2 linked regions of the Lepisosteus oculatus genome follow. The protein of the gene in region 1 purifies or fractionates together with the protein of each later gene. This does not show direct contact. Links are inferred from orthologs where the notes say so. Each region holds a gene or a part of one and is shown on either strand. Other genes may lie near its edges. The genes, in order: acad9 and timmdc1.

Evidence for each region.
Region 2: the proteins of acad9 (region 1) and timmdc1 purify together in Homo sapiens (affinity purification with mass spectrometry; 3 studies listed by BioGRID and IntAct, counting the BioPlex papers as one, with this or other methods). This does not show direct contact. The link is inferred for Lepisosteus oculatus from reciprocal best matches to the Homo sapiens genes ACAD9 and TIMMDC1.

The regions. Positions count from the first base shown.
Region 1 is NC_090699.1:62,456,674-62,464,395, reverse strand, and holds the start of acad9 (complex I assembly factor ACAD9, mitochondrial), read left to right. Parts: upstream 1-4,438; 5' UTR 4,439-4,499; coding exon 4,500-4,691; intron 4,692-5,372; coding exon 5,373-5,466; intron 5,467-5,919; coding exon 5,920-6,021; intron 6,022-7,722. UniProt on the Homo sapiens protein: As part of the MCIA complex, primarily participates in the assembly of the mitochondrial complex I and therefore plays a role in oxidative phosphorylation.
Region 2 is NC_090710.1:18,098,485-18,106,582, forward strand, and holds the start of timmdc1 (complex I assembly factor TIMMDC1, mitochondrial), read left to right. Parts: upstream 1-5,070; 5' UTR 5,071-5,085; coding exon 5,086-5,106; intron 5,107-6,287; exon of another isoform or gene 6,288-6,302; coding exon of another isoform or gene 6,303-6,323; intron 6,324-7,974; coding exon 7,975-8,098.

The sequences.
Region 1 (7,722 bases):
ATCGATGTAAAACTATAACTGTGATCATGTGGAGAACGCAAAATAAACAGTATAAGACTCCTGCATTTGTCATTTTTACAGGGTGAAAAAACCAACATGAAACTATTTCAGCATCCCATTTTCACAACATTTACTGTACATCTGTCACCCATAAGCAGCATTTACCTGTTGATCACACTGACATACTACGTGTTCTCCATATTCTGCATCAGGTGATCATTTTTTACTTTGTGAGAAGGATACATAGGTCATATTACAAGAAATAAAAAATGTAAAAGTCAAATATAGGCAAGAAAATATCTACAATATGTAAAAGCCCTGGATTGTGAAAGATTCTTCAGACCTCCTATTCAGACCTCCTATACGAAGTGGTTTTATAAATCTATACACTATAAAGCATTTTTCTATTTCCACCTTTACATTTTTTAAACGGTCATTTTGTAATGTCTAAATTTTGGTGTCTTTAAAATATGAAAATGGGGTTTAAGTTTATTGTTGAACACCTAAATTCGCATCCAGATTGTAAAGTAATTAAGAGACCAAGCAGATGTTGAGATGTGGTGGCAGTTGCATTGTTGTTTACAATCATCCTTGAATTTTGGGGGGTGTTCAAGCATTCCCCCAAATTAGGGGGTACATTAGGGGCATTTCCCCAAATTAGGCAGCACTACATATCCATAAGAATGGAAATTTAAAAAAGCTCAGGTGAAACTCAAAATAATGCAGAGTTTTAATGCTTAACAGTCTATACCTAATAAAAGCATTAAATTTCTTCTAAGGGAATAATTTATCAACTTAATTACTACAAAAAAAGCATACCATTATATTAATTTATTTGTTGGTATAATGGTGCCAGGAAAAAAGTTCTTTAAAAATACTTGCAAATCATAATTGTGGTTAGGAATGAGATTATTTCTTTTTCCCAATTGCTAACACACATACACACAGAAATCACACCATATTCCTGTGCTATAGTATAAAGGCTTTTCTTTGGTCAATTTAAAAAGCCATTTTATGGGCTTTTTTAAGTTTTTGAAAGACTTTCTCTCTCTCCTCTTCAAATCCTACCTCTGGGAGTTCTTACACATTGGGAAGCTTAATAAAGGTAAGCTGCACCCCAGGGTTGTGTGAATGACATGCACTAGTCTTTGAAAAGTGCTGTGGCTGTGGTGTGTATCTTAGCTCTCGGTGAGGTGAACAAGATTAAAATTGTAGGTAACCTGCTGGGGCAATGGTTGAGGTTTCTGTAAAGCCATTTTTACAATCCCCACACTATTAAATGAAGATAAAATGATCAGATCTTTATCTGTTGCATTACAGAACGTTCCTATAACCTGTATCACATTAGTACAGCCCCCATAGAAACACAGCCACAGTAGAAAGCTTGTATACCATGCATACTATAATGCATTCCTGCATTTGTAAGCTTTATAAATCTCTGGCATTGTCAGATAATCATGTCCTGTACTAAATTTAAAATTTGTACTGTGTTAAAATTTGATACCTACAGTTGAACATAAGGTGAGTACAAATTCACTTCATATATATCTGGTTTTGCAAAAATGTAATTTTTAATTCTACATAAAATGACATTCTGAGCACTTTGATGTACTAAATAGGTAATATTCAACAGATTTATTGTGCAAAAGTGAAGAGTATGTTGCATGTGTTTTAGAAATTACAATGATGATTTTTTTCAGTTGTAAAAAGAGGTATTGCACCTGGACTACAAAGCTCTATCCTTTTGTTATTAAAGTTATAACCTCATATAAAAATATTACACTGTACATACAGCATTTTTTAGAATGTGCAAAAACTATCCGGGACATCAGCTTAGCAGTATTTATTTGTTGAAAGACAGCTCGTGAACTTTAATGCCCCTCTGTTCCCGATAACAAAACAACACTGCTTGGTTTTGAATTCATTCCAGAATCCTAAAGCTATCAAAGTGACTGACAAGTCCAGCTTATGATGCTTTTAAAATTCATTCATGTCTTGTGAAGAAATGCAAATTTCTCAAATACTCTGAAAGTGTCAGCTATACTGACAAGGTCAGTCCACCAGATACTCAGTAAATTGCTGTACTTGTCACTTTGGTGCAACACTAAGAGTTTTACTCTGGGATTGGATATCTTAAGAACCTTGGTCTTGATCACATACAGTAATAAGGATATTTAATAGTAACGACAATCATTAAGTGGTGATTCAGAGTACAGAAAATCCAATTTAATAAACAAAAGGAAAACCTTTATAAACTAGAAAAATTATAATGTAACTATCATTTTTTAAAACATTTAAGTATTTTTTGCTAACAATAAACCAACATGTTCAATGTCCAGTACTAGAAGCCATCCAAAGACTTCACCTGCATGACTTCCACACAAAAAGCATAATACTCTGAAGAACTCAATTCAAATTTGCAGGCGTTTTAAGACTGAATGGATATAAACCATGCTTTGTAAAACACATAAATACACCCTGTTTCCCATGCATGGAATTGTATATTAAGCTTAATATGAAACTGAAGTATTCTGATTATAAAAAACAATAAATCCGTGGAAATGTGTATTTTTGGAACTGTGAAAATTTTACACTGCAGTAAAAGAAAACTGGAATGTTTTATGACCTTCACAAATATTCCATGAGCTATCTGAGACACAAGGTGTTTTTTTATTGAAAAAGCATAAAGAATTGTTTAGAAAAGGACACAGATTATGATTAGACCTGTGTGACATCCTCGAATAAATATAACCAGGCAATACAACATGCAGTACTACGAATTTGATTTTAGCAAAATAGTTCATGTAATATTGGTCATCAGTTTCTAAGCTTATTGCCTAGTATTACATACACTGTCCGTACAATTAGGAAGCAAACACACATGAGCTAATAGTATCTTCCTGAGCGATAGCGATTGGCCTGGACTGATTGACCACAGAACTGACGAGTAACCAGGGAGGAGACTGTAGATTACAAAGCCAACACTGGAATAAAATTATGTCTTAGGCTACTCCTTTCAGAACTTTGGAGATATGTATTAATTGCATGGTGCAATAAGAAGGAGAGAAACTTTGGAAGTGGATTTCAGGTGAGTGTTTCTTCTAAGAAATTTGGATCTTTAGAAGGAAATATATATTGAATATATAGTATATATGTAGGGCTCACACCCGAAGAAGGCTCCACAGCCGAAAAACATTGTGTTTACTTTCTTCTCTTTTCAGCATGGAATAAACCTATTACTTGTTCCTATATTGAATATATATACTGTATACATGTTTTTTTTTCTTTTCAAGGTCTGTTATGCACAGCTCCCTCAAAAATTCTTTATTTGAAAATGGCAATTGACTTTCTCTTGTATGCACTACCCTCTAGAAAATATCAGAAATTAATAACAGAGAACCACCATGTTAATGTTTTTGAATATTTTCCATTTCTCAGTTGCTACCCCAAGAATGATTACAGGGAAAGTCAACTTTAAAAACCTGAGAACACTGGCCTAAACATAAATTTCATATAATAAGCTTCTCCTCTGCCAATTGGATTATAGTGTAAAACGATATAATAAATCCACTTGTGATCTAAAAATCACAGTTAACAGGATTCCAAACAGGTGAATGAGGTTAGGTACAATGATATAAAATGATATAAACACCAGTGTGCAGCATGGAAAAGATGGCTGTTTTTCTTTTCCCACGGGATAATACAGCAAATGCTCAGGTCTGTACATCATCTGTACCTCCCCCCCTCTCTCACCATCTTTAATCTCACGAGGAATAAATTATTTCTACTTCGTCAGAGCATTTATGAAACAGAATTAATAATTTATCTTCATTGATATTTTTGAGAATCTTTTAGTAGGCTCTGGGCTAGACTAAAAATTAAACGTGAGCGTGCAAGATGTGTTATTGTAGCTTTTAGGAAGTCAAATGTATTGAACATATTCAGTGTCAGTACTTCGTGCAGTTTAGAGTGTGGAGATGTTGAGTCAGTCTTTATTAACTGAGCCTCAAAGACCAAGCAGAGGTTAATTCCACATGGAAAAGAAAATGAAAGATAAACGTGTTTCTACTGGGAATCTTTTCATAAACATGAAGACAGCTACACAGCCAAAATGTAATGTATCAAATATTACCCTTGGTTACAACAGAAGCAATCAACAGCGTCAAAAGAAAATTATTGGTATAAATTATCCCAGCTACCAGTTTCAGTGTTATGTTGTGTATCCTTAAAGGACAAACAAATCCATTCTTTGTAATTGTCTCACTGGTCTTCTAGATTAGTCAGCTGCAACTGAAGTGAGCTCCACATTGTATTGAAATTTTCAGTCCGTCTTTTTGAATTGCTTTAGATCGCAGTTGGTTAAAGCGCTCCATCTTGTGGTTGTGAATAGTATTGCATGGTATTTTTGTTCCACGTCTGCTTATGTCATCACACTGCGACAGAAAGGGGTGAAAGGTCTTTGGAGGGCTGAAGGAGAAAAGTGCTTTGAGTTGGCTGATATGACAATGAGCTTGAACGGGCTTTTTAGGTTTTCTAAATCAGTGAAATTATGGAGGAATCTGTTGACCCTCCGAGTTGGACTAATAGGAAATGAAGGTTACAGAGCTTGTTTGCAAACTCAACGGTATTTCAAGACTCATGGGAGGAGTCTGGCGTATGCTAAGGACCTGTTTCTTGGTCAAATCAACAAGGTAAGTAGTAATACAGATTCACTTACATACCTAGTCGGTGTTTGTAAGCCACGATTAAAAAAGTTCAGTGTTCTGATAAGCTGTATTCTGTTTTCATCAGAATATCTTTCGAATTGTACTTGTGTCTACTATACAAATTCTACCACATATATATTCTGCTTAGAAAATATTGGAATTAGAATAGATTGTGTTTTAGTAATGTATGACACCACCTTATTTTGGAGCAATAACGGATGTTAAATTAGATTGCAAGTTTTTTATATATATATTTAAATATGTCATGTATAGTTCAGGTGGGTAGTTGCGTCAGCATGCGTAGGCTGCAAAGGAACAATTAATAGGTTTATTCCATGCTGAAAAGAGAAGAGAGAAAACACAACGTTTCGGCCGTGCAGCTTTCTTTTACCATTTCTTTCTCTTCACAATATAATACAGCAAAGTAATATAGCAGGACGTTTTTCGCGATTGTTACATTAGCACAATAACGTATCTGATCATCATTTGTTTAGTGTAATATATCTAAGAGAATAATCAGTCTGGCGTACAGTACAAGTAGTGTATCTGACTTTACTGTCTTTAACAGTGTTATGATGTAGAATGGATTCTTGACAGTATACATTTCCATATATGTGGAATCCATTTGAGTGTCTGGTGTAATTAATGCATTGTCTTCTTTTGTAGAAAGAAGTTTTTCCCTATCCAGAAATCAGCAGGGAAGAACTAGAAGAAATTAATCAGCTTGTTGCACCAGTGGAACGTTTTTTCAACGAAGATGGTAGGCGGTGAGGACAAGTTTGGAAACAGAACAATTGCAAAATGGCTACATGAGTTCGATACCCCAAAGTTGAAACCTGGCGAGACCCTGGGAATAAAATAGCTTTCTTTAAGTATAGTGAGAATTCAAGGTAGTGTGCATGGTCTTGGCTCTATTAAGGCAAAAGCAAATATGATTTTTGAAACACCTCAGTTACAGTCAAATCTAAAGGCAGTTAGATCATAATTAACTCAATTAACTCTCATCCTGAGCCTTTAATTTACTTTAGATAAATCTCAACGTATGACTAATGTGAAACTACACTATAATTCTATTTGTAAAACGCAATGTATTTGAAGTTTAGTTCATGTCCTGTATTCTTGGTATACCAGACCATATTGGGCCATAAACAAATGCTATTTTTTAATTATCTGCATAATTATTTCTCTGAAACTTTCATGTTCCCTTTTCCAGTGGATTCCAAAAGGATTGACCATGAAGCTACAATCCCTCCAGAAACAATGACTGGATTAAAAGAACTAGGTCTCTTTGGAATCCAGATTCCTGAGGAATATGGTGAGGAGGTTAAGACAGATATAAGGAAATAACTGCCTGCTCATGCAATATTTTAAGCGTGTCGAGTTACAGATGTGCGCATCAAATAATTTAACAATGCAAATAATATGTAGTCACTGTGTCAGTGCCAATAGACATATTACCATACATCCATCATTGCCAACATTGTCTTCTCCCTCTCTGTGATTCTCGATCCACCACATTAGTCCCCTCTCAAGGAAGAGAGGTTTCTTCCTTCTCAGTTGTTTTTTAACGCCGTTCCATGTATATAAGATCGCGCTTTTGTATTTGCTCAGTTACCTTCTATTTCTTATTAAGAGTTCAGATGAAATTGATTTTTTTTTTTAATCGGAAGGCACTGAAATTTAAATTTAACATCACCCATTTGCAATATTCACATGAACTCAAAGATACTGGAGTATTCAACATGGCTTAACCCCTAATGCTCAGTTCTCAATCTTCACATCAAATACAACAACAACTGTGCCGCTCTTAACCAAGCATGTGGTCTTTTTTTCCTATTGCCGACTCTTCCTGCCAATCCGATTTGGCTGGAAAAACGCACCTCTTTAATCAAAACCTGCACTCCTTATACAGCAGCAGCAGCCAGTTTGGGGTTCTCTCAAATGTCACATTCTGGGACTGCCTATCTGCTGATGTTGAGACACAGGGATGAGTCAGGATTCAGCCCGTCATCTTAACTCCAGTTTCTCTTGCCTGTGGGAGGAGAGTACACTACAATAACAAGCAATGCCCGACTCCTGCAGGTCCCAACGCCTCCCATCGGCCTTGGTTGAGAAGGTCCACCCACCTCTCTCCTCCACAGTGCCTTCATCCTCATGAAGCCTGGCTGACATTCTGCCAAACAGCCACCTGTCCAGCCCCTGTGGCAGCCCTCGAGTACAGACCCAAGCTGTATCTTCTCAAACACCCCTAACCTGCTGAGTCTCCCAGGCCTTTGAGCCAGTATATCCATTACTTCTTACTAATTACTCTCATTTACCCTCTTCTGACAGCCTAGATTTTAGACACTGTCTCTGGAGCCCTTTTTCTTCTGCCTGTTCTTATAAGCCTCTTAATTAGCCCAGTGGACTAGCACGTTCTTCAACGATCCTGTCCTTCCAGTTTAATTACTCAATCAAGAACAGGACTGCCTCGTTCCATGGGTTTGTTTCCATTAACAGATGGCTTTTTCTCAAAGCCCCATCTCTCTTCACAGGCTTGCGCTTTTGATCTGAACCATTTCTATCCAAATTAAGTGTGGATTGTTGTGATCATGATATTTAACCAACTGATCTTTTGATTTCAAGCCCATCAGTGTGTTCAAATTTTGATTGGAACGGTTTGCCATAATTCATGAGAAAAGCGTCTCATCTGGGACTCAGTTTGCTCATGTTGTTGCACTTTAATCGTTGCCCCTCTGAATATGGCGTAAAAGTGTGAGTCATATGATGTCAATGCTCTGTCTCTGATACGTTTCAAAATATGTATTTCAAAGTTTCTGATGAGCATTGCTGAGGATCCTCTACCAGGCAGTGAGAATTATCCACTCAAGCACCTGAATGGCTCAGAGTTCTGCTATCCCTGGGTGAACAGATGTAAAAGTAACATAATACATCAGGCATGTCGCGTAATCACACACAATTTACCAACTTGCAGCTGTGAGAAAAACCTGAGAGGCAGATTTACGTAATTGGCTCA
Region 2 (8,098 bases), on another chromosome or scaffold:
AATGGCTGTAGGAGGCATATCTGAGAGGTGTTCTGTGGAACTGAAGATGATATGTAGAAGATAAATATCAGCAGAAAAGGAGCCCGGGAAAAAAAAGCCTTTGGAAAGCCTTTGTGTCCTTTTCCAAAAAGCATGTGCAGTGTACTATGAGCTTCCAAGGGTCCTGATGATTTCATAGCAGTATTTGTTTTTTAAATGTGTTTTTAATGCCTGCCGTCATTCAATCAAGAATGTGTTAATTCTTTACGTGAGTACATGAAGCCCAACTGAGACCACCAAACTCTTTCTCCTGCTCATAATTGAATTCAAAGTCACTGATCTTATATGCTGGTTAGCCAGCTATACAAAAATATGTTCTGCTCCTGTCCCCGCTAGGTGGGATTGCAAATTTAGCCGTGAATGTCACTTTAATCTCAAAGTTTCTTTTATTCCATTTTTACATTTTGTTTTTGGTCTGAGCCGATTGCTCTATATGAGGGTAGGGCGTCTCCCATAAGCTCCTGTGAAGAGTTTTTGATCAAATGCAGAGCAGCTCAGCCAGAACCACATACTACGAGAACAATTTCAGGCCCTGAGAACACTGGCAAAAGTTAGTACATTCCAAATCTGAGAAGGGTATAACAGAACCACTAGTGTGGAAATTGTGATTCCTGGAGATTTGTTATGATAAACTTTACCAAGATTGTGTAAAACCATGTTGTAATCAAACAGACTACCAGAGATAAATACAGTACAACAGCCCTGACTTAACCCCTCTTGTGCTGGTATTATTAAACCAGTTCTTCTGCCAGACAGACGTTTACTCTTTTCTCTTTGCATTAAATGTTGTAAAAGAAATTAAGAACATTAACCACTAGTTGAAAGAAGATTACATTGATTATTTTTTAATATTTTTTTTTAATTATTATTTTTATTTAACTGAAGATTAAAGTGGTGTTTTAGTCTGGTGACATAGCTAAGAGACAAGATATTGTTACATACAGTAAGATACTTAGGTTGATTAATAAAATGATACATCTCAGTATTCATGTTTTATGAGTATTTTCATATTTATGTTTTAAGTACTTTAAGTGCATATATTTCCCATCTGTTTCTATGGGGTTTCCAGTTTTCTAGGGAGTAATTTTTTAAATATTTTAGTTTTTATGTGTTTTCCATCTAGCCATCTATCCCGGCAACCAACTGGCCCAAGGCAGGGTACCCCTTGGATGGGACGTTTGTCTATCATAGAGCAGACACACAGACACAAACGCACACTCATACCTAGGGCCAATTTTCCTACAAAGACAATTAACCTACCAGTTTGTTGTAGGACTGTAGGAGGAAACCAGAGTACCCAGGGGAAATCCAGGCAAACATGGGGAAAACATACAAACTCCATGCAGTTGGCAGGTCCCTTTCACTGTCCATTCTGAATAAATATGCAAGGTTATCTTTGTCAGTATATTCTGTCATTTAATGTTATGTATTCTAGCAGACTGTTTGCCATTTTAATTCCTTTCTCACATTGTGTAGAAGATGTAAATAATGTCTCAGAAGACACCTGTATGCAACTTTTTCATAGGTTACCTCTTCTTTCGCAGTGTTTCCAATTTTGTATTAAAAACTTATTTTTCTTTACTGGATGTAAAATCCCACACTTGTCTTCATTAAGCATTATTTTCCAGTTGTGTTCCCAATCTTTACATTTTATTTAAACCTTTTGGAATTTAATTTGCAGGTTTTACAGTGTTTGCCAAACCTCCTTAAGTGGTATCATCTACAAATAATTGATCATTGATATAAATTAAGAAGCGTAGTGGTCCTAGTACAGATTCCTGTGGTACTCCATTACGTCACCCCATGTTGTGTTTTCACACTAATGTATATCCTCTGTTTTTTTATTTAATAACGAATTTTCAATCCAAACACTAGTGTGTCTCCAAGTGTCATTGCATCAACTGAGCACTTGCAATTTAAGAGTTAATTTTTAATGAGGAACTTAAAAAAAAAAACTTCTGGAAATCTAAGTACACTGCATCATATACTCAGTTGGAGCTAAATTTGCAGTGCTTCAAATTTATTTATCATTCTTTACTGATTTCATATCTATCCCATTACATTTTACTTCTCATAAATTTGGTCTCATTCCTTCTAAGTCACCTTTCTAGATATTATAAATTTACAGTCTCAAAATATACCTCAAAGCACAATGATCACAGTTCCCTCATGGTTCTCTCATTTCTTTTGCACATAAATTCTTCAATTCGTTATGTGGTGTGGCCTGAGCCTAACCTGTGTATCATGCAGCAGAAATGTGTTAATGTGTCATACATGACTTTAATTGCTTTGAAAATGAATTATAGCACAGCTTTGCAAAAGCAGCAAGGTGCTGCAAGGTGCTGGTTTTGAGAAATCAGGGCCCAGATTTCTAACCAGGCTCTGGTTAATATTAGCATCCGAAATCATCCGGCACCAGCTCGCCTGCTGAGCGAGTGTCTGAAGAGATGTATGTTGCACTGTGAGGATGAGTATCCTAGACCTGGGAGATGAGGTTTAATTTGACAGGCTCATCTGAAAGGTGTTTAATCACCATTGCTGCCATAGTCCAGCATCACACGTCATCCTGATCACAGGACTGCCTACCTGTTAGCAATTTTTACAGCCCTGTTATCCTGTAGACATGAGGTGGGCGAAGCGATCTTCCAACCTTACATACTGTACTAAACTCCCTGCATCTCCTCCTTCTCATTCTGCAGGTGTCAGTCTTGGCATTATCGTATGAATAAACGCATTACAAGAGCAACGAATGCTACTGGTGCTAATGCTCATTTATTGCATTTTAATGCCTCTGGGTATAAATTTGTGTATTGCTGCACATGGTACAACATCAGTTCCTGACACTGGCACACATAGATCAGCTCAGCAATCAATATAGAATTCCATTTATCACTGTCTGGAAGGATCCCATAAAGATAATATACTGGCTAAGTTAGTTCCAGGCTCCCATGATCCTTTTGTTTAAAGAAAGGACCCCTGGGGCATATAGTAACTCTGAGCTGACCTACTGTAGCTACTGCCTTTTGGGATTTGGAATACAGCATAATCTTTTCTGTTCCAGGCAAAAAGTCTGACTCCCTTAATTTGTCTGCGCATGAGACTGCCTTCAGTAAAAAGTTAGTTTGGTTGCTCTCTTTTTTACTGCTCTAGAACAGCAATGTCTTGATGAGTGGTGACCGGAGTATACACTGTACTCCAAGTGAAGTCTAATGCATTGTATAATTTAACCTGACACCCCATCGATTCAAATAATACATTCTTCCTATATCAAAGTTTTGTTGGCCATTTTATCGTTTCTCCAAAGTGCCTAGCTGAAAAAAAAAAAAAGTTAACCTAAACGATCTTGCTCGGGATTTCTTCTTCCAGTTCGGTGCCACCTGTCAGAAACTTGAATTTTGTGTTTATAGTCATGCATGTATTAACATACTTTTATCCATTCAGCAGCACAAAATGAATGACAAACTTTTATTTCATGTCTGTTTTATCCTCATTCTCTTTTCAAGGCGTTATTTTGACTTTCCACGATTTTCATCGATTTACCTCAAACTAGGTCACTCGCTCTCGCGTCTTAAGCTCATTTTATATCCCTGTAGTTTCGTCCTCCAACAATAGGTGGCGATCTAATTATTTTCTGCTTCATATCGCGGAAACTTTCTCTTTAATTCTGACAACAAGCTTTGACATTGTGGGTTTCCCCGAGAAGCTGTTCTGGATAAGGTATAAATGTGCTTGAGAACGTTATGTCTGAATACATTCGTTAAAGTGTATCTGATTAAAGTTTAAAATCAATTTTCTTAATATCAGCGAATATGAGCCGTAGATGTGATGCGACTTAAGTGGTGTATAATATTTTTGTCGCTGTATAAATGTTATTTCAGGTACACAGATAAGTAGGTCGCTCTTTTCACACACATGCTTTAGCTTTCTAAAGTCCATTGTATTTGCTTCCGATTATTTTAAAGATAATTAAGCTCTTGCACCGGTAGCATCGCCTGTTCTTAAATTCCTTTCTGAAATGTATGCTAGTGGAACAGCTAATATCAGTATTATTAATTTTATACGTTCATAAATACTATTTCTATGGTGAAAATGAAAATTTATGCAACCTGTACATTGAGCTATAGTAGCATTTTTGTCATAATTGTAAAATGTATTACTAGTATAACCTTGAATTTTAAGTGGCCTGACCTTGACTTCCAAGTGTGTTTGCGTCTATATTATTAATTTGATTGAATACAGAAATACGTCTTACATTCTGCAGTATATTGAATTGAAATTTGATTACAGCCATTGCTTGAATTTTAGCCTATCTGTGGTGTACAGGTGATGCAAATTGAAGGTGTCTCATACAGTTGTGTTAGAAATATAAACAGACTAACGCAAAACAAACTTTTAGATGATGGGAAATTTTCTCAACTTTGAAGCACGATATTTCTCAGATAAGGTATTGCAGTGTTGTATGTTAATATTTTACAGTTTTGTTTTTTGATTGCTTTACTGCATATTGATAAGGTAACAAAATGAACTTGAATACATGTTACATTTGCTGGTGGGGAAAAATGATAGTAACAAAAATTAATGATGCACAGGTGCATTTCAGTAATATACAAGTACATTATTAACCGGTTTCTGTCTCAGCTGCTGATAAATACATTACAAATGATAAACTTTCTGGAAGAAATACATTTGTTTTACTTATTTTTAAATCCCGGAAGGGTAAGAATTAAAGTTTAAAAACATTCCAGAAGTATTTTGCTTTACAACACCAGAAGTCCAATTTCTAAAATATTTGGTGTATTTCAATATTTGTTTGTAGTCTTTCATAACAAATTAGAGTTACACACATTAGTTATATTGCGCTACAGAGTTTCATCTGTAGTGAAAACACAGATTTTAAGTTTGGGAGAGAGAAAAGGGTTCTGAGAAATAAGGCTGAGAAAGCGATGATCTTATGTTTTAGTTCAGAAGAATGTTGTTTTAGAACAGTATAAATATTAAACGAGCAATAACAATAAGCCAGTGACAGGGTTGGAATGTCCTCGGACCATGTCACAGAACAACTTCCAGGTGAGTGGGATAAGGCCTAACTCTTAGAGAGGTGAGTGTCTCCCAGGCAGGAGCTGTCCTGAAGTGGGTCAATACTGTATGTACAGTAAACCTCTTTGGGATGAAAAGCACAATGTCAGTTCCCGTTCAAGTTGTGAGGTGGCTTTGTGGCGTTTGTGACTCATGGTTTTGTTTGTGAACACCTGCCTCTCGGTGTAAAGAGATTGTGAACCAGCCAGCCCGTCCAACTAGTCCTGATATTTTTAATAAGAATCAAATGCAAATCACTGCACTCATGCGCAGGTGATTGAAATACCAGACCCACACCATTCTCAGCGGGAAAAATAAAGACGCTTAAGGGTATCCTCCTATCCGTCTGTGCTGGGTAACATTACTGCAGGAGCTTATTAAGAAACGTATTTGTCGTGAAGGGCTGTCTCATACCTTCACCTGACCTCCCAAGAGAGGAGGTCTTTCACACCTGTGGATACTGTACTGTGCACACATTTATTCATGTGTAGGTTACTCACCTGTGCATCTTGTCCATGCCATCCTGGAACTCACTGGGAGACGGGGACAGTATTGTTAGCATGACGCTGGAGCGGGGAGCTGAGTCAGCTGGCTTGGGCTGCAAAGGAACCAGGAAAGGTCAATTTAATACTGTGAAGTTGAAAGTAGAAACCGGTTGTCTGTCCAGCCTTCTTTTTTCTACTTTGCACAGTGGATGTAACCTTTACTTGTTCCTAAGCATTATTACCTTATTCATAATTCTTATATTGACATTATTGTTATTTTGAATTGTTTCTTGTTGTCTTTTCATATACATGCTTCCTAAGTTTATGTATTAACTGTTGTTGTGGATCCACAATCAGTCCGTATTGTTGTGTTTGTTGTTGTCCTGTCCATTGCACTGTTCCATGTTGGGTTACGGACCCCCAACCCACCTCTGGTTTTAAATAGGTTTTCAGCTATCCATCAGGGGGAGGTACTTAACCGGGCACGCACAGATTCACAGTCAGTGATAGTTTAGTTCTAGTCAAAAGTGTGACTTCAACCTTAAGCAAGCACACCTTGTCTTTGTGCTGTTCCCCAGCTCAGTTTTTCATAAAGCCTGTTAGCAGTGCTAATAGTTTGGCTATTACCTACGTTTCTCCTGTTTTTCTCACTTTTGTAAATATTTTTCTGCAGTGGAACACATTTGTGCACTATGACTGTGGATGCCCCTGTCCTGCAAGGGGGTAGGTTAGTCACATTTACAGGTATTATTCATTCACCTTAATGGGTCCCATATAAAGCGGTTCTTAAGAGATCTTTTATTTGTCCTATTACACGAGCTTCTTAATAAATCCTTAGACGTTTCATATGTACATTTGTATACACATACCTTAATCCTTAATACACAAACATCAACTAGGCATCCTTAATCCACAAATGCTGCAGTGAGTGATGATGCCCTCCTTCAGGAGTTTATGTTCAGGATTTTAAAGAGCCATGTGGTACTTCAATAAAACTGACTGGAAGATAATCCTCCTAAGTGCTTCCCTTCAGATGCACCCCTCAAACAATCCAGCGTTCTACTTAATGGGTCCCATATAATTATTTACATAATTAGATCATTTAAACCTCATCAGAAATGTTAACAGAACTTCTAATTAGGTTTGGCCAAATCAGCATGGGGTGCATTTTTATTCCAGCCATCAGCATAGCTAGGCCACCCAACAAGGAGACCATTGACAGAAAGGCTTGTTAACATCTGTGACACATTAGGATGGACTGTATCCTATGGTTAGAGAGTGTGAGGAGCACAGACGTGCTGTAGGTTAAATAAATCTTTTGCTTACACTGACAAAAACTCAAACAGCAGCTTTAATGAAATATATAAGATGTACAAGCAAAAGCTACGTTTAGCCTTGTTGTGAAACAGGAATGATTCCATGTTGGTAAGATGGAACAAAAAAAAGTTTTTTCTTGGTTCTCCAGCTCAAATGGGAGTGATATTATAAAAGGCTATTTACTTCGAGTCTTATTCCATCAGCCGTCTGGTTGTGCTCAGTTTGTGCTTTTTTTCCCTAAACCCACCACCATCCCCCCCAACTTTGGACTTTTTTTCTCACTGTCTTTTTTTTTCTGATTAGACAAAAACAAATTCTTACATTCACTAAAACGAATTAAAACACGAGAGAAAAGATTAATTCAATAACTTCCTACTGATATTCTTAACATCCATGCCATTCAAGTTTGTCTCTAATGGGCCTCAAACATTCCTATACTCAATAAGTTTCCCCTGTACTGTAAATTATATGAAATCTTTTCAAATTTAACTTGTGATACAGCCACTTTAATCCATTCTTTGTATGACGGTCCTTTACTGTCCACCCATTTTCGCAGTATTATTTTTTAGCAGTAATACAGAGTCAAGAAAGTATTTTTATACTGAATTGCTGCTTTAACCTTTGATAAATCACCAAGGATACATGTAATGGGAGTAAGTGGAATTGAGATATTTAGGTACCTGAGAGCTTTCCCCACTGTGGAGGTTCGAGCTTGAACATTAATTACATTTTCAAGCTGCATGACATCCCTGAAATTTTCAGCCTTAAAAAAAACATCAGAAATGTAGGCTGACAACAGTTTGACATAGGCCCAGGGGCTCTGCTTGCCTTGAACACAGAACTTGGTGAAAGCCTGGGCGGCCCAGTGGAACATTTTTGAGCAGCAGTATTTATAATCTGCATGAGATGTCAAGTATTCATTTTAGAGTTAACGTGCAGCTTGCTATGCTGGTTGAGAGATGGCAGTGGAAGTGTTGTGGGAGTTATCTGCAGCTGTATGTTTCCAAAAGGCATAAAAAAAGAAGCTCTTTCATTGTGGCTCCTAACTGTGTTACAGGCAGACTGGGGCTGCTGCGGTGCGATGGATCGCCAAGGGCTCCCAGCGAGCATGTCCGCATGTCCTCGACTTGACAAGCCTCCGCGGGGCTCCTCCTACTCCACACTCTTCTGGGGTCTCGTCC